Kluyveromyces lactis: one gene and its partners. The protein of the gene in region 7 purifies or fractionates together with the protein of the main gene of each other region. This does not show direct contact. Links are inferred from orthologs where the notes say so. Each region holds a gene or a part of one and is shown on either strand. Other genes may lie near its edges. The genes, in order: NOC4, RRP9, SOF1, MPP10, BMS1, RRP5 and UTP9.

Region 1 (3,511 bases), about 580 kb from region 7:
TCCGACAATAGCCAATCTTTCGTGAACTAGAATAGTAGAGTTCTTAACAATGTTACCTGACCAATCTGGACCACGGTGTCTGATTCTCTTGGATAATTGTAAAGCTTTTGGTTTGTAAGCCTGAACATCAGGGTTTCTGAATGAAGCAAATATACCACACATCTTGGGTCCTGTTACTTCGTTATTCTGTATATCTAATTGATAAGAGCGAGTAAAAAACCAATACTAATACAAAACAAAGATCCTAACATAAACATATAAACAATTCTTATTACAAGCGAGCATTAGTTTTCTTGTGATGAGCATCAATTCTTTATACTTTTTCCAAAATTTTTCACCAGAGCTTGAATCGCCGTATTCTTTTTTCTTTCGAGATATTGAAAATGACTCAGTATCAATTGCATATCAAAAGAATATGACAAAGCAGCAGAGAAACGAAAAGTAACGAAGTGAAAATGAAAATTGGTGCCAGATTCTAACTCTGATTCATAGTTGATTCATTTGTTCCCGCTCCGACTTGTCATATTCACGATACCATCGTATCACGGCATTTTTTTCTATCTAATATTTACGTTTACGTTTACAGTTAGTTTAGTTTTTGAAATGAATCGCACAAGGCGATTCATATTAGCAAGAAGCAAGACTCAAACACACAAACTCACATCAAGTCTATACATGGGATGACCTTCCCAAAAAGAATCAGAATTTTATAAAAAGTGTCCCAAATCATTCAAAGAATGTAACAAGATTATAAGGCTTGCGAGGGCACCACATTCTCCATTAAAACCATGAACAGAAAATAATTCCCATCCACGAAAGAATTGTAAGAATTAAAAAAGCGCAAATAGTATCATCGTCTTCTTTTAAAACTTGGAAGGTCATGTGGATTTAAGCCCAAAAAGAGTAATACAAGTAAAGCCTATCAAAGTTACATCTCTTCTACATCACCAATTGTGTCTTGTAATTTCTTGGTTCATAAATCTTTCTCTTATATATGATGAAATTCGGGCTAGATCATTTTATACTAATCGTTGAAATTTGTATGCTGTTAGGGCTCATAGGCTGCCGTGAACTGGAGGATACGCACCCCCTGAAGGAACGAGCATCAGTGTGCGTATTCAAGGTGATGCAGGCAAGACTTGACTGACAACAGAATGGTTTACCACTCTAAATTATATATTTAATGTCGCCATTGATAGCTAGTTTATTAGGAAATGCGATCACGTGATAAGAATAATTTCTTTTCAATTGTCTTCTACATTGCAAGAATCTCTGAAAAATTTGGAATCAAGAGATGAGATGAGATGAGATGAGATGAGATGAAGTCGAATAGGAAACGTTAAGGTAGGATATTCTCACCGTTATAATCTGTTTGATTACTCGCAATAAATAATTGGAATTCACATATAAAAGTTTCCCAAGGATTCAGACAGCGATTAACCAAGATGCTCTCGAAGGAAGAGATTAAGCAAGTTTGGAAGTCTATTAGCACCGGCAATGATAGAAAACATTACAACTCGTTGGTGAACCTAATCCATGGGTACAATGAACTTCTAAAGGAAAACGAATTGTTGCACAATTTGGAAGATGATTACCGTTATATGACCATTGCTTTGAGTCAGATTTTCATCAAACTTTTTGAGCGTGGTCAATTGATGCCTCATCTTGCATCCAATGCCAATGAAAAGAAATTCTTTGAATGGTGTAAGAAACTATATTTAAATTATAAGGTTAAGTTATTGGCTATCATTACATCTTTGCATGAAGTTAACTCGTTGAGTTTAGATTGTTTGGACTCATATATGAAAATGCTTCACCATGAATCGATATATTGGGCTTCGAAACCAAATAGTCCTTTCTTTCCAAATAAGACTTTAAGATCGTTACTAGTGGCTCTTTTCCATTGTAACTTTGAAGGTGATATCGGTTTCAAAGATGGTCAGAGCGAGAATCCCGTGTTTAATCTATTTGTGGAAGCCTATTATAAGAAGAATTTCGATATTCAATTCTACACACAATCAGAACTGATATCGTTGTTACCAGAACTTGATGGCCAAACATCTGACGAAATTTTGATGTCTAAATGGTTGGCTTTATGCAACAACGATGTTCAGGGATCACCAGACTTGGAAATATTCGTATCTGTGCCCCCACAAGCCATCGAGAATGATGCTAAGTTTAAATCCAACCTCGAAACAAATTGGTTGCACTGTCTAAATTTAGCCAACTTATCCAGTAGCCAATATAAAACTGTGCTTTTAGTGCTACACAAGAGAATTATAGTATGGTTCCATCAACCAACAAAGCTTATGGATTTCCTTACCGACTCTTACAACCAAGGTGGTATCGTTTCAATCCTTTCATTAAATGGTTTGTTTGAACTTATGAAAAAATACAACCTAGAATATCCAAATTTCTACTCAAAACTATATCAGCTTCTAACTCCAGAAGTAATGCACGTTAAGTACAGATCAAGATTTTTCAGATTAGTGGACACCTTTCTATCTTCTACACATTTATCCGCACAACTGGTAGCGTCATTCATCAAACGTTTGGCACGTTTATCCGTATCGGCACCACCAGGTGCTATTGTTTCTATAATACCATTCGTGTACAATCTAATCAGAAAGCATCCTACATGTATGATTCTATTACACGATCCAGAATACATCGACTGCGATTCAAAGAAAAGGCAAGAATATCTAGATCCATTCAACAATGAAGAAACCAATCCAGAACTTACAAATGCTCTTTCCTCCTCAGTATGGGAGCTAGAAACGCTAATGAATCACTACCATCCAAACGTAGCCACTTTAGCGAAGATTTTCCAACAACCTTTCCAAAAGTTAAGCTACAACATCGAAGATTTCTTAGATTGGTCTTACGATTCACTTTTGCAAGCAGAAACCAATAGAAAGCTGAAGATCCAACCTGCTCTTGAATTCGAAAGGTTTGAAACAATTTTCGAATCAGGTTCTGATTCAGCATTCCTACCCTTCATAAAATGGTAAATACATAATTTCAAGTAGAAAACTTAAGTAGTTCAATTCCAAATTGAGTACTTTCTTTCACTTTCGCAAATCTCTTCACATTACATCTCATCACATCGCCGTAATATTGAAACATCGAGATGAAAAAAATCAACAAGTCAACATCAAGAAGAGAAAGACTCACATCAGAAAAAACTTTAAAATGGGCTCCGTTTATCGGTCTTGAGGACTTAAAGGCACATACCATACCAGTTGGCTGCTTTTTTACCACTACTATTGAATAAATGACTGAGGAAGTGAAAGCCTGTAATCCAGAGAAAGCCTTAGAGCTGAAGAATGAAGGTAACAAGTTCGTGAAGGAGAAACTGTACGCAAAGGCAGCTGAGTATTATACAAAAGCCATCGAGCATGATCCCGAGAATACGATCCTATATTCAAACCGTGCGTTCACCAACCTAAAGTTGGATAACTTCCAAAGTTCTTTAGACGATGCTAAACGTGCAATTGAATTGGATAATAAC
Region 2 (3,494 bases), about 590 kb from region 7:
TTGATTGGTGCTGCCGCTGGTATTGCTTTGGCCTTCCTATGATTCCTTTACTTTGGGAGTTGTTTGCTTTCTCTTGAGACGATTTGTGTTGTTTATTACTCTTTCGTTCCTTGCTTGTTTACAAGAACATGAGGAACGCTTAATACTTAAAATAAAAAAATCCATTTGACTTTTCCCGATCTTTTCCTTTAATCCTTTGAGCTATTCCTTTGATGTTCCCGCATTTAATTCTCTACGTCGCTGGCTATGTGAATTAAATCTTATCTGTTCTCAAATTCGTTCTCTAACACCTTATTTTATCATGGCTGACAATGAAAGACACTACTCAAAATCATGTCACAATGATTTCTATTAATCCTTTCCTAGTTCTCTACATCATTGATCGGTTAGAGCTCTCTATATATAAATATATACCCTTGTAACAATTACTAATGTATTTCGGCTTTATTAAAGTATTCTTCTTTTTACTATACAGGAGATTTTTCTATTGATAAGATTAACTAGAATCCGGTTTGTTCTATCACAGCAGAAAAGATACCATTTCTTGCACCTGGTACCTTGCTAATCCATCTTCCTAATCTATGTTCTTTACTGACACTTGCTAGAATTCTGAAGGTTTCTCTACCGGTTCTGCCGGATTCTACGGCTTGAATTTTGGTTACCACACCTTTACAGTTAGGTAAGTCTCCTAATAGTTCAAATGCTCTTAAGTTCTCATTGATTTTCCATACCTTCAGGGTTCCATTCCAGGATCCTGAAATGAAAATATCAGAATATGGAACGGCGTATAATGATGTTATCCAAAATGGTTGGGCAATGGATCCACCTTGTAATTGTGCATTGCGTAATTCATCGCTCACTTCCCCAGAGATTTTTTTATCCTCAACTAATGGTACAACACCATGAGCAGTTCTAACGGTGAAAAGAGGTTTCTTTTTGGATAAAGACCATAATGATATATTTCCGTTATCAGAGCCAGTAACGAAATGTGAATCATCTACCATGCTAATACAATCGATACTTCCCTCGCCATAAAAGTGAGGTGGGGTCTGTTCATGCATATCTTCTCCGCCTTCTGCGGACAATTGTTGGTTCTTCAACCATTTTTTCCTCAGTCTTTCAGGATCATCACCACCTCTGAATGTCAATCTGGATTCGTCAGCTATTTTCCACAACATAGCGGTACGATCCCTGGACCCCACTGTCACACAACGCTCCATATTTAGGGCAGAGATATCAATAACCAAATCCTGATGACCGTATAATATTTCCAGTTGAGAAAACTGGTTAATAGCATACGTTCTGATTTTGTAATCGGCACATGCTGCGAATAATTGATCCGAATTCTTCTTGAATGCTAATCCTAAAACCTCACCTCTACGATCTTTGGTTGGAATAATTTTCACAGGGGCTAAAGATTCGGTACTCCATACTATCAGTTTACGGTCACGACCACCACTAACTACGTATTTACCATCAGGAGAAGCTGCCACCGTTAAGATTTCATCGTAATGACCTTCTGTCACATTCTCGTACTCAAATTTACCTTCCGGTATGTATTTTCTACCACCTTTAACATATTTCACTTTTTTTGGTCTAGCTTTGAAATCAGTAACATCATATTTTGTTAATTGCATGTCCTTGCTAACAGTGTAAGCAAATATTTTGTCCTTGCTCTTATTTTGAACATCTTTATGAGAAAACTTGTTAACTGAGGGTTGATAACACGAAATACATGTTAGATTATTTTCGCCTACTCTTGTAAACGTTGTTCTGGATTCACCTATCAAAAGCTTATTTGAAATCCATCTATAGATACGCCCTTGTTGCTCTGCAACATCTTGTTTCAATCTGGAAGCAATGATATCTCTGTCCAAGTCACGAGCATCAAAGTTATTGTAATCCTCTAATTGTGTTTGACGGTCCTGTTCAGTGCTTGCGGTCGCCAGAGAATCGCCAATATCTTCAGCTTCAGCCTTTAAATTCTCTAAATATTGTTTAGCCAATCTTCTTCTCTTATCAGCAGGGTTTTCGCCTTCAAACTCGTCTTCAGATTCCAAGTATTCTGCTACCTCATCGCCATCATTGGATTCATCTTGGACATCACCTTCATCAGAAGAAATATCCGTGATTTCCTCATCTACCTCTTCGACAGAATCCCTATTACGTTTTTTTGAGACATTGCTTGTACTAGATCTAGCCATGGTGTACTTGGTGGCCCTCTGGTTGCTGTCTCGTCTGGTTTAGTTGCAGCTCATCGCCTGTTTCAATGATGTTGGTTCAGATGTACAATTTTTTTTTCAGTATCGCCAATTTGTAAAAGAAACGACACCACTTGAAAAGTGACAAAAATTGAAGAATGCATGAACTTGCAACAGAATTAAATAATAGTTTGGAAGACTTTACTCGATTCAACGACCTATATGCCTGATTTCATTGGTATTGCTAGAATTACTTAGTTTAATTTACATTACGGCAGAAAATGAACGTCAATGCACGGATCGGAAAATCAATTATTATTTAAACTGACAATACTTATTCTAGTCCAGATAAGAAGAACAGGGGATTATCATATATTATTGAAATCGGCCTCAAATTTGGCCTCAATAATCGTGTTGATTTTTCTTACTAGTGGAAGTAGTTCAGCTCTTTCTGCAATTTTTCTTGCAGCAGATAGGGCCTTATCTTGCTTCAGTTCGTTGACGATTGAAACGGCCTTGTTAACATCTTGCTCGGAACAGACATAAGCTAAAAGTCGTAGTAAGGACTTATCATGTGTTGCTACCAGATGCTGTAATAGATCTGTTTCATTTCCGTATATCTCACCTTCATTATCCATCGTGTCTTTTAGTAAATCACTTAGTATCTTGGAGCGTAGAAATTCCTCTTCTGCTGCTAGGTACATTGGAATTTCGACACCATTACTGTTATCAATATCTTCCACATCGCTGCTGTCGTTACGATTATCGTCTTGTGTCTTTTGAAGCTCGGATTTTGATACAACTGGGATTCTGACTTCCATTTCTGTAGGAACGGTCATTGGGATATCTGGCCATGCGTTCTTCCCCTTCAATAATAAATACGAAAATGTATCGAAGTTTAATCCTAATGGCCAAACGTGGACGTTCTTCGGATGCTTACCCCCTGACATCTTCCAAAGTTCTAAATTGGTATCAACTATGGGTACCCATCTCGCGTCACTACCACTTCTCCATTTGGACAGAATTAACAAAACATTATCATGACCAAACATACACGGATCACCAAAGCTTGAGAAGAATAAGGATTTGATACCTAGGGGGTTGAATGAATTGAAAATATCATCGTATTTTAAAAATTCAATGTCTTCATCATCATTTCCCGGCTGATTCTGTTGAGGCAACGTTATTGGTAAGGGAGATTCTCTTTGGAAGTATTTATTGCCAGTTTGCGGATGTTGTTGGAACATCGAGTAAGTAATACCATGATATTGTGAGTAATGAATGGTGAACACT
Region 3 (3,100 bases), on a different chromosome or scaffold from region 7:
ATTCATTTTATGCTTTGTTTATGCAAACGATTGCATATATTGGGTCTTTTTTTTTTTTGCATGACCACATCTTCTTCTCTCTCTCTCTCCCTCTCTCTAATATTCATTGCCATAGTTTCAAATTGATAGACTCATTAGTACTATAATACTCATCATATTATATTGGGCAAGCAAGGCTGGTTCTTCTTGTGTTCACTTCCTCTTTTTTTTTTTTTTCTTTTTCTCTCACTTTTATTATGGAACTATACTTCTAATCTAATACTGTAAAAGAATATGAAAGGATTCAATTCGTTACATGCAACCCATGATTCAAATTATAAAGAAGATATCTGCTAATCTCGGTAAAAGATAGTTCCTTGCTAAAAACGATTTTTCATTGAAAGGAAAACTTGATCAACTACCTTGATTTATAACTTCAAGAAAAAAGAGACATGTTTCGAGCTTATTAACGTTACAAATTTATAAATATCTAATTCAAAACTGATAGAAATTCATATATTTTATTCATCTTCGGAATCGTTGGATCTATTCGAATTAGATTTCTTGTCGTCCTCGTATTGAAAGACAGTACCGACGATTTGTTTCTTCCTTTCAGGTAAAAATGGCATGTCTTTCCTTGTCTTTCTTTCGTTTCTTTCCCTTCTCTTCAAAGAATCAATTTCAATCTTCTTAATCTCTTGAGCTTTCTTAACAACCTTAGGGACGTGTCTGTGCCTGCTAATTCTTCTGACCTCTGGCATGTGCTTGAATCTTTCTTTAAGTTTTTCATCGTATTCCAACTTATTCTTTTCACGTGTACTCTTCGCATTAGATCTCTCCCATGCCTTGGCTCTCCATAGTCTAACGTTACCATCATCTGAACCACTTACTATATACTTACTGTCCATGGTATATTTCACTTGGAAAATATGCTGCATTCTCTTTGTATGATATATTTCTCTCGAATGACCATGTTTAACTTGGTAAATTCTGATTGTCTTATCATAGGAGCCTGTTACAACTTCGTCACCAGTAGGGGAAAAATCAACATCCATAACAGCACTAACATGATCTTTAAACACATGCAAAGCTTTGGACATATTTCTCATATCATAGTAATAAGCATTATGATCTTCATTGGCAATTACGAAGTTGAAGGCTTCCACTGGGTTCCAACAGATAGAGTTTGTCCTCATGGTTTGAACAATTTTTTGTGTTGGAGAGTTTGTTCTTAGGTCATAAAGAACCACAGAGTTATCACTACCCGTACTTGCTAAAATGTCGACCTCATTTTGATTAAATCTAACATGATTGATATTGTCCGCACCCCATGAAAGATTTGATATTGGCTTTGATCTGTTTGTATCCCAAAGTTCGATTTGGGCACCACCAGTAACAAAATTCGATTTTTGTCTATGATGATCCAAAGATTGGAAAGCATGTTCACCATGGAATGTTTTGATGATACCTTCATCTGTATTCAATCTTGTATCATCTTTAACGTTGGAAAAGTCGTCAGAATTCACTGACCATAGCTTCACCGTCTTATCGTCACCACAAGAAAGCATGAAGTTTTCTCTTTGTGGAGATAAATATGAAGGAGTAACACACAGACCAGTAACCATACCGTAATGTGCCTTGAATGAACTTAACTCTTCTCTAGTTGACATGTTCCAGTACTTGATAACACCGTCACCACTAGCCGTAGCAAGTTTGTTTAATACATTGTAATTCTTTGCAATGGTGTACACACCATCCCTGTGACCGTATCCAAGCTGACCGACAAATGGCTTAGCAAACATTCTTTCAAGCTTGGTGGCATTCAAAGCCTTTGTATATTCTCTAGCTCTTTCGAATGGATGCAGAGCCGGATTTAAATTACGAGGCATCTGAGACTCTTGTGTGCTCTTCACCGGCACATAATCATCGGCACTTCTGCTGATAGTTTTGATCTTCATTTCGCTATTCTTTCAATATCCCCAGTTGGCACTAAATATGGTAGACCTTGTGCTAGTTAATCAGCAACTATGATATGGAAACAGTTCCAGTGGTTTCCTCTTCCCATTCCCTTTCACTGCTTATGATGCGATGAGATGAGATGAGATTTGCATTTCGATAACTTGAAAAATTGTTAAAAAGAAATTATGCCGAATATACAAGGACGATATAAGATGACAGTTAAAGACCTTATTAAAATAACAACAACATGATTTAGCCATTGCTACAGTCACTGAGTACTTGAGTTTCCAAAGCTGTATTGGGATTATCTTTGTGTACCCTTTTTTTACCGTTTAAGTAGTGTCATTAGTATATTATATATCTTACAAAAAATGTAATGATTGCAGAACTGTATATCTATATGTTGGGTTGCACAAAATGGAAACAAAGTGTCAAAATTCCATTCTAGTCTGTGATTCAAAGTTATCTGTATTAATTAACTGGCAAATGTCGGTTTCGGAATTCTCAAATGTGCAAGCATTGGGTTACCAATTCTTTCGATAACGTCACTGGCCCATAGAACATCCAAATGTGAATACTCATCAATATACCAGATTTTGTAGACAGAGTGTGGTTCGTGGTTGATAAAGTGATTAATCAATCTTTCTCCGTCTACAAGTCTATCTTGCCTGGGTGTGAAGAGTAAAATCTTTGGCCAATTTTCTGGCAAAGGTTTATGTTGATTTCTGTGTAAATGTTCATCCATACTTACTGTTTCATTTTGTATTGGGAACCAGGTCTTGATGTCGGGGAACATGTCTTCGGCGAAAGTCTTGAAGCTTGACTTTAAAGGGTTAAGACTTAACCACCATTGCATCAATTTCACAGATATATGCACTGGAGAAAATAGGAAATGTCTATCACGCAAGGGTCTGTCCCATAAAATATCGTTCCAGTTGAACAAGTAGTTGAACATGACGTAAGACAAAAATGAGAATATCTTGTGTCCGGCCAACAAATTTCTCATCTCCATCATCATTGGTACAAATGATTTGTTTCCGAATACCCAGCGATTATCTATGTGTTTCGCCATAAACTTAACGAAATATTTTTCATCGAGTAGTGGACCGGGATAAACAGCAGGTGCTAATGCAACTAAATTATCTAATTTATCACTCAATCT
Region 4 (3,701 bases), on a different chromosome or scaffold from region 7:
ATATGCAGCTTTTGGTCCAAAAGGTCGTGCATTGATCTCGTTCCTATTTGCTATGGATTTATTAGCATGTGGTGTAGCCTTGATCATTTTGTTCGGTGATTCATTGAACGCGTTGTTCCCAGAATATTCGGTCAACTTCTTCAAATTCGTCGCTTTTTTTGCAGTTACTCCTCCAATATTTTTGCCATTAAGTGTTTTATCAAATATCTCTTTGTTGGGTATTATCTCGACTATTGGAACTGCATTGTTAGTAGTTTTCTGTGGGTTGCTAAAACAATATTCACCAGGGTCATTATTGCAACCAGAAGCCACATCGATGTGGCCCAATTCATTCAAGGAGTTTTGTCTTTCCTTAGGGTTATTGAGTGCATGCTGGGGAGGTCACGCAGTCTTTCCCAACTTAAAGAGTGATATGAGGCATCCGGAGAAGTTTACTCGTTGTTTGAAGACCACTTATAGCATCACCATTGTTACTGATATCGGAATTGCTGTCGTTGGATTTTTAATGTTCGGTAATCTTGTTATGAATGAAGTGACAAGAAGTGTGTTATTGACTCCAGGATACCCGCCTTTTGTTTATGGCCTAATTTCAACTCTTCTTTCACTGATTCCACTTGCCAAAACACCACTTAATGCAAGACCGATTGTCTCCATCTTTGATTCAATGTTTAACGTAGTGCACATCGATGAAACTAAACCAGCATCGAAGGTTTTTTTCGCAAAGGCAACCAGAATATTTAACAGAATCATGGTGAATGTTATGTTCGTGATTATTGCTATTTTATTCCCTGAATTTGACAAAATAATTGCATTCTTGGGTGCTGCACTTTGTTTCATGATTTGTTTCATTCTGCCATGTTTGTTCTACAAAAGAATTTGCTACAAAACCATTAAATCTTGGGAATTGATAGCGTGTAATATTACGATATTAATTAGTGCAGTATTATCCACTCTTGGAGTATACGCCTCCTTCACCTCATGAATTACCTACAAATGCTGTTGAATTTGCCAGCACCTCATTCTTGTATATGCATCTACGTGTCTTTATGCAAAATTTTAGCACCCAAACTAAGGGAATCACACTTCATATAATGACTTTTCACCCATATGTACTTCTGTCTAGTATTCATCACCCAACCAATGCCTCACAACTGTGTCTATTATCTCTCTTCTTACCCGCATTGGCGACAGTTCCCATCATTTTTTTCTTTTTCAAATTTTTGGATACCTGAAAAATTGATGAAAACTCATCTCATCGCATCACTCAGCATGTACGAAATATGCGTCTATAGTAGCAGCTTGATCGTATCGATACATCCACTACAGCTACACCAGTAAATAGGTAACGTTTCACTGACCCACACATAACACAACATGAGTCAGTTTTTGGAAATTTTGAAAACTAATCCTGTTGGACTTCTTTCCCAGGATGCTCTGGAGTCCAAGGAACCACTATCGGCAGTGAAGACTTACTTTGACGAAGTCATCAATCTGAATAAAAACAATGGAAATTCAAAGACAACATTAGATGAGATAGTGGTTGATGGGCTAGATGCTAACCAGGTATGGTGGCAGTCAAAAATCATTTTAGATAATGTTCAAGGTGATATCATGGAAAAAATCGCCGAACTGAAGGTTGATAATGAGAATGATATGAGCGAGGAAAGCAGCGGAGACGAAGATGATGCCTCTAATGTTGAAAATTCCAATGAAATGTCTGCAGACGAAGCTCCAGTTTCTGAAGAGTCTGCTATTGAAGAGGAGGAGGAAGAAGCAGAAAATGAAGAGCTCGTTTTAGATGAAGAACAACAGTTCTCAGAACCAGAACCTTTAGAATTACATGAGAAGGAAGAAGATAAATTGGAAAACGAAAGTGATTCGGAACCTGATGATCAATTTGTAGAAGCACAAGAAAGTCCACAAGCGATCGAAGACAAGTTTGGTGTAAACGATCAATTTTTCAATCTAGATGAATTCAATAGACAAACACTTGAGGCTGAGAATAGAAGCCAAGATGCAGATGAAGAAGATGAGGATGACGAAGAAGTTGATTATTTCGCAGATGTTCCATCGGAGGAAGATGAAGAAGCTCTATATTACGACGATTTCTTTGATAAGCCATCTAATAAAAAATCTTCCCAGGACAGGCGGCCAGGACCTTCAAAGAAAGCAGAGGCCGAAGAGGATGAATCCTTTGACGAAAGCGAGTATGATGATGCAATGGAGGAAGCTAAGTTAGATCTTTTTGCTGACGAAGACGATGATTTTCAGGGATCAGATGAAGAAACTGCTGAACAACCATTATCTACCTTTGAACGTCAACAACTTGAGCTAAAAAGACAAATAGAATCCCTCGAAAAGGAAGCTGTTGCTGAGAAGAAATGGGCGTTAAAAGGTGAAGTAAAAGCTCGCGATAGGCCAGAAGATGCCTTGTTAACGGAAGATCTTGAGTTCGAAAGAACTGCCAAACCTGTGCCAGTTATAACAGCTGAGGTAACAGAAACTCTCGAGAATATGATCCGTAGAAGGATCAAGGAAGAAGATTTTAACGATCTACAGAGGAGGGTTATCAGCGATATTTCAGGCTACAATAATAAACCAAGATTCGAACTAAGTGATGTAAAGTCATCAAAATCACTAGCTGAAATTTATGAAGATGATTTCAAAGGTGTTACCGAGGATACTGAAATATCAGAAGAATTACAGAAAAGTCACGATGAAATTTCAGAGCTATATAAAGATTTGGTTTACAAACTAGATGCATTATCGTCAGCCCACTTCATACCTAAGCCGATAAAGAAAGATCTTGAAGTAAGAGTGCAAACCGCCGCTATTTCTATGGAAGATGCACAACCACTAACAATGTCAAGTGGTTCCACATTAGCTCCTCAGGAAATCTACAAAGTTGGTAAATCAGAGAACTCTAATGAAATAACTTTGAAGAATGGTGTGGTGATGTCCAGAGATGAACTGTCCAGAGAGGATAAAAACAGACTCCGTAGAGCTGCTAAGAGAAAGAGATCGAAGCTATCTGCGAAAAGAGCCGAACAACCTAGAAAGAAGAGTAAGACGGATGATGTTCTTAATACCTTGACTAAATCCAAGAACATAACCGTTATCGATAAAAAGGGTGCCAAAACTGATGTTAAGGGTAATATAAAGAAGGATAATGCATCTGGTAACATCAATTTCAAGTTATAGACACTGTTACAGTAAGTATATATTACTATAATTAATGCAATTGCATTGAAATGAAGGTGGTAAATAAGAGAATTCTTAATTATCTTTTTATCCCCCAAACTATTTATGTTCTTGAGATTTATGGAATAATGATCTTACACCTTTTACAACAGAAGGACTGTAATGCTTGACAAGAAGGCTATTTTCCCATATAGTTGCTGCTTCTGCATTACTTCTACTTGGTAAGTCTGTGTCGATGCGGAACTCCCCATTTCCAATTCTATCGTCTGTAGAGTATAAACCCAGTACTTCTGGATATTTGGTAGTTAGTTTATCCAAAAACTTCAGCAGTGCAATTGATGTTTTTTCTGGAGTGTGCAGCAAAGCCATGTAAATTCTCTTTGTGAACGCAGCAGCTCTTTGTTTAGTGCCAGATTTTGATCTGAAAAAGACATGATCAAGGGCTTTCAACAATAACTCTGCTTTTGTTGATACGTTAACTGATGGTTTGACGAGTTCAT
Region 5 (4,151 bases), about 200 kb from region 7:
CAAATGCTTAGTGAAACATGATCTATCACGATAAATCTGATCCTCATCGGCAACGATTGAAGTACTACCTTGTGCTTCCTGTAACATATATTTTGCATGGGCAGGAACCAATTCTTGCCTTGTATCTCTATCTATAACTGCATTAAACTGAGCCTTTTCTTTGATAATGTAAATTTTTTGATGCTGTGATCCATGTGAGTGCTGATGATGTTTTTCAGCATCGTCATGTGAGGAATCTTGCTTACTTTTCCGTAGGTATACCGTTTCTCCAGGGAAATAGTCGTTTTTAAATCTTGCATATACCTGTTCGACGAGCATATCTAGCCTTCTAATCTCGTTGAAATGGATGAATTTTGCAACAGGTTCACGTAATTTTAAAGGGAACATTTTCTCAACGTATTGGAACTGCTCTTCTTCACTGTTCAACGCTTCAAAAAAAGTTAAACATGATGTACCAGTGATCTCACAGGTGAAATAATGTCGCCTATAAAAATCCAATCGTTGCAAAAACTCTGCATAAGTCAAAAACCATTCCCCTGTCTCTTGAATGTACCATATTTTCCTATTGATATTTGACGGTAATGGCCTAGCATCTGGCAACGTTATCGTTTTCCTTTTATACAAAACCATTGCTCACACTGTGTATTCTATCCAAAAAATAAAAAGCTCAACAAGGAAACACACACCACTGAAGACTCTGTTATCCTAGCTTTCCTGCTTCAACTCAGTAAAAATTACACGCACACAGATTGGAAAGAATAAGAACAGTATGTGTTTTCTATGACCAAAAGATGTTGTCTCGTATCCACAACAATATAACTGGTGTAGAACGTACAGTTCTTGTTGTGAAATCCAAATCACCACACAAACGAACTAAAGATAAAAAACACAACAACTTTTAGGGAAACGAATGAAACAAACGACTTTTATTCGGAATCCAACCGTTGATTCATTGACCTTTGTTCTATCCTGTTCTGTTTGTGCATTTGATTGGATTTCGATTTCATTTTGATGTTCGAATTTCGATGAACGCTTTTTTTTCCATATGCCCTTGGGCCCTAGTTACTACGGCAGAGACATGTAGGAATATCTACAAAACTGACAGAATACCTTAAATTCTTAAAAATCAGATCACGTGCAGAATCACGTGATTAGATATCGACAAGGTTCAGATCATTTCTTTTTCTTACCCTGCATGAAAAATTGCATGAAGAAGCTCAACCATCTCATCTCATCTCATCGGTGAACATAAAAGATTCTAGTATCTTGAATTGAATCAAAAGGGTCACTTTAGGCCAGTTAGTTCGAATCACATTGCCTGAATACATCTTAAGACTCTCAAGCTTCAGCAATGGAACAATCGAATAAAGAACATAGGAAGCGGAAGGAGAAGGCTGGTGCCAAGAAGAAGTTACATTCTCAGGGCCACAATGCTAAGGCCTTTGCTGTCTCCGCTCCGGGGAAAATGGCTAAGCAGATGCAACGTACGGGTGATAAGAATGAGAAGAAGTTGCATGTTCCGATGGTGGATCGTACCCCAGATGATGATCCTCCTCCGATCATTATTGCTGTTGTTGGTCCTCCAGGTACCGGTAAGACTACTTTGATCAAATCGTTAGTGAGAAGGTTGACAAAGACCACTTTATCCGAAATTAACGGTCCTATTACTGTTGTTTCTGGTAAGCGTAGAAGGCTGACTTTTATCGAATGTCCTGCGGATGATTTGAATTCCATGATCGATATTTCAAAAGTGGCCGATTTGGTGCTTTTGATGATGGATGGTAATTTCGGGTTTGAAATGGAGACCATGGAATTCTTGAATTTGGCTCAACATCATGGTATGCCTCGTGTACTAGGTGTCGCTACACATTTGGATCTTTTCAAATCCCAGTCAACATTGCGTGCCTCTAAGAAATCTTTGAAACATAGGTTCTGGACCGAAGTGTATCAGGGTGCCAAGCTTTTCTACCTTTCTGGTGTTATTAACGGTCGTTATCCAGATAGAGAGATTTTGAACTTGTCAAGGTTTATAAGTGTTATGAAGTTCAGACCTTTGCAATGGAGAAACGAACATCCTTATTTATTGGCCGATAGAATATCCGATTTAACTCATCCAGAACTCTTACAATCGAAGGGTATGCATATAGATCGTAAAGTCGCCATCTATGGTTATTTACACGGTACTCCGTTACCTTCGACTCCAGGCTACAGGGTCCATATCGCCGGTGTAGGTGACTACCAGATCGATCACGTTGAGAAATTGCCTGATCCTTGTCCGACACCTTATTACCAACAGAAATTAGATGAATTTGAACGTGAACGTGCTAAGGAAGAAGGTTCCACATCAGCAACGACTGTAAGAAGACGTAAAAGATTGGATGATAAACAAAAGCTGATCTATGCTCCAATGTCTGACGTTGGTGGTTTACTTATGGATAAGGATGCCGTGTTCATTGATGTTGGCGGTAAGACAGGTCCAAACTCAATGACTGCAGAGGAAAAAGATGAAAGTGACAAGATCGTGTCCAACCTACAGGCTACATCTCGTTCCATTGATGAAAAATTCGAGAATGTTGGATTGCAGCTTTTCTCAAATAGTACTGAGTTACATGCTATTGAAGATCAGGATGAAGAAGTTGAAGAAGACACCGAAGACGAGGATGATGTTGATAGAGGAAACGTTGGTAGATCTTCCTTAAGAAAGGCAAGAGTATACGGCAAATCCCTTCAGGAATCTAACGCAGATCTCGATAATTTATCAAGTGACAACGAAAACTATAATGAAGATGATGACGAAGATGAAGCACATCGCACTAAATTAGTTGAAATTGATTTTGATGACGAAAAACCTGAAAACATGGCCTTTGAGACAGATTCAGAATTGGATGCATCTGATTCTGAAGGTTGGGAAAGAACCACAGCTGGTAAATTGAATGGTACAAAGAATAAAAGAAGAAAGTGGGATATCAGCAAACTTATCTACATGGACAACATTGCTCCAGCTGATGCAATCAAAAGATGGAACGGCGAGGCCGACGAAACTGAAGTTGAAGAAGATCTAGAAGACGATGAAGATACTGAATTCTTCACCCAAAAGACAAATACTACACCGAATAAGGCAGTAACTTACCACGATGATCTTGAAAGATTTATTCCTTATTTTGATACATTCAATGACCTTGTTGAAAGATGGTCAACTGCCGATTCAATCAAAGACAGATTTGTTGGAAAGCCATCCTTAAACACCAAGTCTTCTGATGATGTAAAGGATGAAGACGATGATGAAGATGAAGTATACGGTGATTTTGAGGACTTAGAAGCTGAGCCTGAAAACACAGATGAGAAGGAGGAGAATTCTGCTGCAGGAGATGAAGAATCTGATAGCAACGAATCGTTCGCTGATTTCGAAGAAGAAGAAAAGAAGGATTTGACCCAGGATGAAGAGCGTGAATTGAATGCCGCAAAAAAAGAGAAATTAAGGTTACAATTCGAAATGGAAGAAGGAGACAACTTTGGAGAAGACCCTGAAAATGAATACGATACCTGGTACGAATTACAGAAGGCTAAGATTGCTAAACAATTAGAAATCAATAAAGCCGAACTGGAATCTATGACTCCTGAACAAAGGCAACAAATCGAAGGTATGAAAGCTGGGTCTTATGTTCGTATTGTCTTCGATAAGGTTCCTATGGAATTCATCGAAAATTTCAACCCAAAGTATCCAGTAATTATGGGAGGTCTTCTTCCCACAGAATTGAAGTTCGGAATTATTAATGCAAGAGTCAGAAGACATCGTTGGCACAAAAAGATTCTCAAGACAAATGATCCTTTAGTTTTATCTCTTGGTTGGAGACGTTTCCAAACTCTACCAATATACACCACTAGTGACTCTAGAACCAGGACTAGAATGTTGAAGTATACTCCAGAACATGCTTATTGTACAGCTTCTTTCTATGGTCCCTTGTGCTCGCCAAATACCACTTTCTGTGGTGTTCAAATAGTTGCTAACAGTGATACAACTGGAAGTTTCAGAATAGCTGCGACTGGTATTGTAGAGGAGATCGATGCAAGCGTAGAAATTGTGAAGAAATTAAAGCTTGTTGGTTATCCTTACAAAATCTTCAAGAACACTGCCTTCATAAAGGATATGT
Region 6 (4,006 bases), about 350 kb from region 7:
GTGAATCATTTTTCTTGTACACACTTAATGGTGCCTTTTGTTCTTTGATATCTTCGAAACTGTCGAAAACTTCAGAAATACTGATACGACCATGTACATTATCAGCCAACGTAACGTTAAGCTGGTTCTTCTTAACTGATGTAATTGTAGCCTTTGTAACCTTACCGATAGTGAAGTCCGACAAATCTTTGATAGACTTGTCGACTGGGTTAATTACAGATGAATTGATCTTCTTAACATCGGTCTTTTGTTTTAAAATAGTCAATAAAAATCTTTCATGTTCCTCATCTGTTCTCAATAAATACACGGTCACGGATTGATTGATGTAGTATTTCTTATGAATATCAATATCTCTGGTTTCTGCTGCATAACTTGGTAAAACCAAACCGACAAATTTACCATTGAATGCAACAAAAACACCACGGTCAGAAACAGATTTAACGTAACCATGCATCGGTTCTGTTTTGTCTTTATTTTTGATGTCGGAAAAACTTAAAGGAAGGGTACCGTCTTCAGCATCTTTAATCAATGATTTTTTACAGGACATGTTGAACACATGAGTCCTGATGTCCTTGTCCAAAACCAAACCTCTAACTTCAGAGTTAATCTTTAACTTTTTCTGCGAAGCTCTGTTTTGTTCAATTCTATCATCTGACAAATGGCCGGTGTAAATAACACCGCGCAACCCTGAATCTTTAGATTCTACGATGACGGAATCTTTAGTCTTTTCAATAACAATTGCATCGATGATAGATTTACCGACAACTAAAGATTCAATAGCACTCTTTTGCTTGGAAGAAGACTCTGCTGAAATTTTACAAGAAGCAATAATTCTGTTTCTTTCGAAGTCATGATTCAAAATTTTAACCAAAACACTTTGTCCTAGTCTTAAGTGTTCTTGTGGTTTCTTTACAAATGCTTCTGAAATTTCTTTGTTTGGAACGAAAGCTTTGATATTATTAAAGAACGAGATAACACAACCATTAGGCTTGAATATTTCAACAGTACCAATTGTTTTCAATTCTTGACTTTCAACAGTCTGAATATCATCATTTTTGCAGACTAACGTCACAGATTCTTCGTCTGCATTTACAATAGACTTTTTCAATGTCACAGTGACACGGCCCACAGAATCGACATTGAGAACTCTACCTTTAACCTTTGAACCAATTTTGAATTTTCTTTCAGGATACACAAGTCTGGTATCAGATATGTGTAAGGGAGGAACAAATGCCTTAAATTGATCATTGAAAATTTTTAATTCAATACCTTTTCCTGACACTGTGACAATCTCACAAGCGCTCAAAACTTCGCCTGCTGGAATATCGGACGATCTTAGGTATTTGACATCAAGTAAGGCTGGATCAGACGTCAATGTGTAAAGTTTATCTACATTGTTATAGCCGAGTATTCTTGCTTTCACAGTTCCCGTTGGTTCAGTTTCTCCTGCCTTTGACAAATGAATTTGTCCCACCTGTTCATTGTTGATTGATACGTAGAAAAATTGACTATCCCTGCCTTTAACTGTGCAAGAATCGAAGATATAGCCAACGGGGAAAGATTCTAACGCTTCGGTCTCCTGTAATTTTGGATGCAATGAGATGATATGAGGTTGTGTGGAAACGACAGCAACTTTATCGCCGCTTTTCACTATAGTGGTTGCCAAAATTCTAGCATTGACTAAGTCACCAATGGAGTAGTGATGCTTCAAATCCTCTACCGTAAAGAAATTGGAATGTGGCAATGGCAAAAATGCAGTTATTAGACCGAAGGCTTTACCGATAACACCGTGATTTGTGATAGTTTGAGGTAAAAAGTCAATCGATTGACCCGGCACGATGGCATCTATGGAAGAGATCTTTTCGACCTTGGTGTTTTTACTGGCCAAATCCAAGTTGACATTTACAGTTCTACCAGATCTTTTCGTCACTGTAGCTAAGAACACCATACCTGGTAACAAAGAACTGAATTCAGGTATATCCTTCTTTGAGATAAAACCTGTTAAGTTCTCAATACCGATATCAAGAATGGCACCGTGATCTTCTATACTTTTCAACGAACACTGTAGTGGACAGTTTTTAGCTAAATCATCATCTTCAAACACGTTTACTACAGAGGGTTCGATGGATAAGTCTAACTTTTTGTTCTTGTTTGATTCTAAAGCGCTGTTATTTTGTACCATGCACCTCAACCATTGGCCTATTTTGAAATATTTATTGAGATCAGGTAATTCTTTAGGAGTTGTTATGTCGCTTTCATCATCTGAAGAATCGTATTCTGAGTCCTCATTTTTTTCATCATCGCTTTCCATGGATTCGTCCAAATTTTCCAAAATCTTGGTCATTTGTTCAGAGATATCTGTTAATGAGACGTAACCATGCAAACCGTCCACCAAAGATATTTTCAGTTCATGTTTGCTGATCGATTGGATTTGACCCAAGACAATGGTCCCTTTGGTCATTTGTTTCATTCCAAAATGCTCAATTAAATCAGTCTTGTCCTCTTTTTCTTCATCATCACCTGTGGTAATTTGATCAAAATTATTCTTAGCATTCTTCTTTTTCTTCTTCGTTGGGCCCTCTGCACCAGTAGCTGATTCATCCTTGCCAAATAAAACATCAGCAACCACTTCGTTACCAACCTGCTTAACTTCCAATGGGGATAAAGCAGAAGAACCACCTCTTGGAAATGAGATTTCCTCGGATTTACTCAATGCAGATTTGGCTGGTGCTTCGGTAGCATCCTGTCTTACTAAAGGAGACTCATCGTCTCTCTTTCTTTTACTTTGTGGAGCAACCATGTTTGTGATCTTTTTCGGTATTTAGATATGCCTGTTTTCAAAACAAATTACACCTAGCAATTTAGATGTAAACCTATGTTTTTCTTGAAGTGTCTTGCAAACTATTGAAGCTCCTGTTCCCAAGTTGTTGTTGTTTTTGTCTTCTGTGAAGATAGAAACCAATAAAGCCAATAGAAAGCACAAAGCAAAAAGAATTCAGAGAAAGATACAAAATATGTTATACCAAACTGTTTCCTGTTTGAGAAAGTAAACCAGACTTATCTTTACCAGAATTAAGAAAGTTGCACTTGGTTTCTAGAATCAACAAAGCTCAGAAATGTGTTAGCATACCAATACAAATGATCCAGCACTTAAGTAGCTAAAGCTCATCTCATCTCATCTCATCTCATCGCATCGATTTTTGAAAATTTTCAATATTAAAAAAAAGAAATCAAAACGACATAGACGAAATGTAATCGCGCCTTTGATGCAGTGACAGTTTAATAATGGAACGTTGTACAGATCTTCCGTTGTTATCACTGGAGTTTGTTTGAACCGTATCCACGGATTAGGGTCTTTTGAATGCATGACATACTTCTTAACTATTAAGGGCTTTTGTTAGCCAGTTATTCTATCTTCTTAAAGAGGTATAATAATTACATATCTGTAATGGTGGAAACCATGTAACTAAAAGGTTCTAGGGGAGTGATAAGAGTTTTGTTGGTCATGCTAAGAAAAATTTGTGCAATTACGAGTGGAATGCCTTCTATGGTAATAGTTTCAGATCAGACTATATGTTTTTTCTCTTTTTTGTTCAATTTCATTTCTAAAGGTACTTTCACAGCCGGAAATATTTATTATAAGGCATAAAAGCACCATCATATTACAGTCTAAAGCTGTTTCTGGCTCCTTTCGATCCATTTTCAGGGGCAGTCTATATATCTATCGAACTACGAGAGTTTTATCAACACAGTAAAGTTCCACATTGTAACGTGAGGTATCATTGGCCTGCCTTTTCTCCTATCCTTCCTTATGTATTATGTGTCTTGGTATGAAATTTCATTAAATCAATTATCTTCAATTTATCAACCTACATTCTCATATATATCAGAAACCTTTAAAAAGTAATATGGAGTGGATTCTATCAATAGATAAGGTCGACCAACGCACCTTTGAAGAGGGACTCAATGTCATCATTCGACAGCAGATTTACAGGAATACCCCATA
Region 7 (3,615 bases):
GCTTATGAATATTATTGTACGAAATGTACATCTTGCTAGTATCAGCTCCAGAATCTTCCTGAGACATCTTTAAATTTCAGATAGGCTATCGACAATTTGGGTGGTTCGTATAGCGCTTGTCACTAACTATATTAGCGAAATGCAATGATACGAATACGCGAGGTGATAACTCAATGGTAATTCGGCTGAAGATGAGATACCAGTTCTTAAAAAGATGCGATGAGCTTTAAAACTTTTCGAAAAAAAAAAAAAGAAATCTTGTTATCTGAGATCAGCAAAGATTCCCATGTGATGAGATAAGCTACAACACAGCCAGTTGTAGCATAAGGATTTAGAACGTTATTCGCATAGGAATAGTGTAAATAGCGGCTCTAATAAGCGAGGGGAAAGTAAAGGTATTTGTATTTCCGCAATTCTTTGATGGTTTTTCTGGATGGAATTAGGATCTATATATGCGGTACTAGTTATAATGAAATACGTAGTATTGGTATCAACGGTTATTATTCGGAAGCGTCATTCAAATCATCAGCTTCTCCATTTTCATATACGAATTCTTGTTCGTCTTCCTGTTCTCTGTCTTGTATTTCATTAACGTCTTTGCCATTGATTTGCATGGATGCTAATTGTTTTCTCAAGAAAGATTGTCCGGAAAGCATTTCTAATTTACCTTGAATGGAAAGGAGAGTTGAGAGAGACTCCGAGCTGGTCCTTAAGGACGACCTTAGGCGTTTTGTCATTTTGTTTGTGTTTGAATTGATAACCTTGATTTGAGATCTACGAAGAGTTAATAGCCATTTGAGCCATACAGAGGCTTGGCCTGCTGAATCAACATTTGCTGATATATGTTGCGCAAGCACTTCAAACAACTTATTAGTACTGTCTTCGTTAAGATCATCTCTGACAAATAATTGGATGTTATTATCCGACCATGGTTGTTGTAAAAGAATTTCAAGAATTAATTCAGAATTCATATTGGCTTCTCCGAGAGCAGTGATTAGCTTCTGTACAGTTTCATTTTGTTCCTTTTTTGAAATTTTTCTATCAGATTCAGGTTCATCCTTGGCGACGATCTCGTCAGGGACCAGAGAAGCTTGTTTCTCGGTATCAACTAAATTGAACGCGAATTCATTTTGTTCATGCAGTTGAGATTCAGATATTACTTCGAACTTAGGCTCATTCACATCGATCCATGCTAGTACAATGTTATCATCTTTGATCTCAAAATCTAAAATTTCAGAGTTCTCGACTTTTATGCTTGCAAGCGGTTCTTCTGCATCTTTCAGTAAAACCTTCATTCTACCTGCAGTGTCCAATACTACGATATTATCATTAATTACTTTCACCTTCTCGGATTCAACATCCCATTGGCATAGTATTTTTTTCTCTGGTAAAGAGTAGAGGGAGACTTTTGATACATCGGCAATTACGACATGGTCTTGATCATATACTGTACATGAAATTGATCCGAAATTTTCAATCTTGCTGAACGTTGAAGGCCTTTTCTTAGATGGATCTACAAGATAAACGAACTCTTCTGTGATGACCGCCAGAAGTAGTTTTTGTGGGAAACTTAATACCTGGAAGTTGATGATATCTTCATTCTTACCATCCGTTAGATGGAACGTTTGTAACGGCTTTGTTGTAGCATAGTTGAACCTTTTCACAGTTTTATCGTCATCTAACAACCATATAACATCATCTTTCGAATCAATGCCTAGAATTTCTTTCTTGTTCTGTATGATATTAATGATCTCTTTACCATTAGCTGAATGCACAACAATCTTTCCACTAGGGAATACATTTATAAAATATTGCTCTAATGGAGAGTTCGCTATCTCTTCATCGGCTCTTCTTTTCACACTTCTCGTTTTACAGTTGTTCTCCGCGGAAGAATGGTTGCTACACCAGGTCAAAAGGTTCACTTCAGAGACTACTAAGTCATTGCTCTCATAATCAATTTGAAGAACCTGAGAACTGTTTATATGTAAGTTGCTCACGTCTTCTAGTGGATATAAGTCAATGGAGTTCTTTTGGGACCTATTGGATTGAAATGCGAAAAATGTTGCTCCTGGAGAGAAACTAGTAATGTAATCACCAGCTGAGTAACTAGATTCAACCATTCTATAAACTGGTTCAATATTTCTGTCGCTTCGCCTCAGAAGTTGCCGGTACTAATGGTAAAGTTACCTTTTGATCACATCGAACTCTTTACCTTCAATCTAGCTAGGCTATTAAGTGATGAGATGGATGGAAATTTTTCAGTAACGCCAGAAAAAGAAAAACTCTTACCCGGCTACAGGTAAATAGCAGCTGCTCGAATGGTCAGCACGTGAACTATTATGTCGGCGATGCAAAAGTAGATAAAGCTATATGTATATACATTCGAAATTAATACAACATTTGAATGACTGACAAGTCATTTCACCTTATGTTGTGTGCAAAGTTCTGAGAAAAGCTTGTTGGTCTTCTGAAGACATGCTACCAATGAAGTTTTGATACTTCTCTGGTTCAGTCTGCTCCAATCTTGAGAAAGTGTGTTGGAAAAGTTCATAGATGTTGACGTCATCGAGGATGGATCCAGATAATGGGTCTTCTTCAAGTTCATCCATATCATCTTGGTCAAGGAACTGGCCCGATTCATGGATTAGTTGTAGGCTTCCGGCTTCATTCTTCAAGAATTTTAGATATTCTTCAGCATCGCCAGCAGCATCTTCATCATCGTCTTCGAAGTCATTCCACTCATCGTTAAATCCATCAAACTTACTGAATGCATCACTTGAGAATTCTTGACGTTTATCCTGTAAGACCTTCAGTGCTGCAGGGAACTTGTTGAATAAATCATTCAACATTGGCCCCAATTTCAGATACACGGCCTCGATGTGTAACGAGACATACTCTTGCATGGGTACAAGTGTTAGAAGAGATAAGGTAGCCATGATCGACAACTTAATGTCAATGACTCTAGTAAACTTTGGGAGATAGAACTGGATCCAAATTTCAAGGAAAGTCGTAAGAAGCTGTTTGTGGTTTAGAAAGTTCAATGATTGTGATGGATAGTATACCATAGATGCTAGTATAACGTTGAATGCATTGACACCATAATTTAGATGAGTTTTCAAACTGTTTTTTTCCACTTCTATCGCTTCAGTTGTAGTAGTTAAAAATGTACTCAAAAATTGTTCTGGGATTTTGTCTCCGAATGCCAAAATCATCTTTTGTGCAAATTCAAACACGACGCACATTTCGTCTAGATCCTTGTCCTCGTTTTCATTTGCAGTAGCAGCTTGGAATATTTCAAATAGTATATTAGTGTAAAAAAGGTTTTGCTTCAATTCGTCCTTACCGTAAATTAAATAGTTAGAAATTGCCATCATAAAATCTTCCAAGTAGAAAGAAACCATACTGCCCTCTTTCCTATTGCAATCACCAATCAACTCTAACACTTTCCAAGAAATCGAAGAAACTTTACGCAGTAGAAATGTAGAATTCTCAACAAATTCACACACTTCACGGTAGAAATCTTCCATATCATTCTTTAGAATGAACTCAGCAGCGGGATAGAAAGAGTGCTCTAAACTCTCGATAATTTCAGTTGAATTTTCAAAAGAAAGTAAA

The links.
Region 1: the proteins of UTP9 (region 7) and NOC4 purify together in Saccharomyces cerevisiae (affinity purification with mass spectrometry; 7 studies listed by BioGRID). This does not show direct contact. The link is inferred for Kluyveromyces lactis from reciprocal best matches to the Saccharomyces cerevisiae genes UTP9 and NOC4.
Region 2: the proteins of UTP9 (region 7) and RRP9 purify together in Saccharomyces cerevisiae (affinity purification with mass spectrometry; 3 studies listed by BioGRID). This does not show direct contact. The link is inferred for Kluyveromyces lactis from reciprocal best matches to the Saccharomyces cerevisiae genes UTP9 and RRP9.
Region 3: the proteins of UTP9 (region 7) and SOF1 purify together in Saccharomyces cerevisiae (affinity purification with mass spectrometry, with the first as the bait; 3 studies listed by BioGRID). This does not show direct contact. The link is inferred for Kluyveromyces lactis from reciprocal best matches to the Saccharomyces cerevisiae genes UTP9 and SOF1.
Region 4: the proteins of UTP9 (region 7) and MPP10 purify together in Saccharomyces cerevisiae (affinity purification with mass spectrometry; 5 studies listed by BioGRID, with this or other methods). This does not show direct contact. The link is inferred for Kluyveromyces lactis from reciprocal best matches to the Saccharomyces cerevisiae genes UTP9 and MPP10.
Region 5: the proteins of UTP9 (region 7) and BMS1 purify together in Saccharomyces cerevisiae (affinity purification with mass spectrometry; 4 studies listed by BioGRID). This does not show direct contact. The link is inferred for Kluyveromyces lactis from reciprocal best matches to the Saccharomyces cerevisiae genes UTP9 and BMS1.
Region 6: the proteins of UTP9 (region 7) and RRP5 purify together in Saccharomyces cerevisiae (affinity purification with mass spectrometry, with the first as the bait; 3 studies listed by BioGRID). This does not show direct contact. The link is inferred for Kluyveromyces lactis from reciprocal best matches to the Saccharomyces cerevisiae genes UTP9 and RRP5.

What each region holds. Positions count from the first base shown.
Region 1 is NC_006038.1:952,674-956,184, forward strand, and holds NOC4 (ribosome biosynthesis protein NOC4), read left to right. Parts: upstream 1-1,445; coding exon 1,446-3,011; downstream 3,012-3,511. Other genes in the region: ASN1 (asparagine synthase (glutamine-hydrolyzing) 1), read right to left, coding at 1-162; PPT1 (protein serine/threonine phosphatase), read left to right, coding at 3,275-3,511. UniProt on the Saccharomyces cerevisiae protein: Involved in nucleolar processing of pre-18S ribosomal RNA and ribosome assembly. Has a role in the nuclear export of 40S pre-ribosomal subunit to the cytoplasm.
Region 2 is NC_006038.1:970,261-973,754, forward strand, and holds RRP9 (ribosomal RNA-processing protein RRP9), read right to left. Parts: upstream 2,205-3,494; coding exon 501-2,204; downstream 1-500. Other genes in the region: KLLA0_B11055g (uncharacterized protein), read left to right, coding at 1-42; chromatin-binding protein CTF4, read right to left, coding at 2,570-3,494. UniProt on the Saccharomyces cerevisiae protein: Involved in nucleolar processing of pre-18S ribosomal RNA. Required for efficient pre-rRNA cleavage at sites A0, A1 and A2, and biosynthesis of 18S rRNA.
Region 3 is NC_006042.1:1,438,447-1,441,546, reverse strand, and holds SOF1 (rRNA-processing protein SOF1), read right to left. Parts: upstream 1,938-3,100; coding exon 501-1,937; downstream 1-500. Other genes in the region: KLLA0_F15576g (uncharacterized protein), read right to left, coding at 2,414-3,100. UniProt on the Saccharomyces cerevisiae protein: Required for ribosomal RNA processing.
Region 4 is NC_006040.1:821,799-825,499, reverse strand, and holds MPP10 (rRNA-processing protein MPP10), read left to right. Parts: upstream 1-1,374; coding exon 1,375-3,201; downstream 3,202-3,701. Other genes in the region: AVT1 (Avt1p), read left to right, coding at 1-982; NOC3 (Noc3p), read right to left, coding at 3,301-3,701. UniProt on the Saccharomyces cerevisiae protein: Involved in nucleolar processing of pre-18S ribosomal RNA. Required for the early cleavages at sites A0, A1 and A2 during 18S ribosomal pre-RNA processing.
Region 5 is NC_006038.1:180,197-184,347, reverse strand, and holds the start of BMS1 (GTPase BMS1), read left to right. Parts: upstream 1-1,351; coding exon 1,352-4,151. Other genes in the region: KLLA0_B02090g (uncharacterized protein), read right to left, coding at 1-630. UniProt on the Saccharomyces cerevisiae protein: GTPase required for synthesis of 40S ribosomal subunits and for processing the 35S pre-rRNA at sites A0, A1, and A2.
Region 6 is NC_006038.1:728,644-732,649, reverse strand, and holds the start of RRP5 (Rrp5p), read right to left. Parts: upstream 2,801-4,006; coding exon 1-2,800. Other genes in the region: YPK9 (putative acid anhydride hydrolase), read left to right, coding at 3,967-4,006.
Region 7 is NC_006038.1:376,679-380,293, forward strand, and holds UTP9 (Utp9p), read right to left. Parts: upstream 2,121-3,615; coding exon 501-2,120; downstream 1-500. Other genes in the region: XPT1 (xanthine phosphoribosyltransferase), read right to left, coding at 1-67; NMD5 (Nmd5p), read right to left, coding at 2,427-3,615. UniProt on the Saccharomyces cerevisiae protein: Involved in nucleolar processing of pre-18S ribosomal RNA. Required for optimal pre-ribosomal RNA transcription by RNA polymerase I together with a subset of U3 proteins required for transcription (t-UTPs).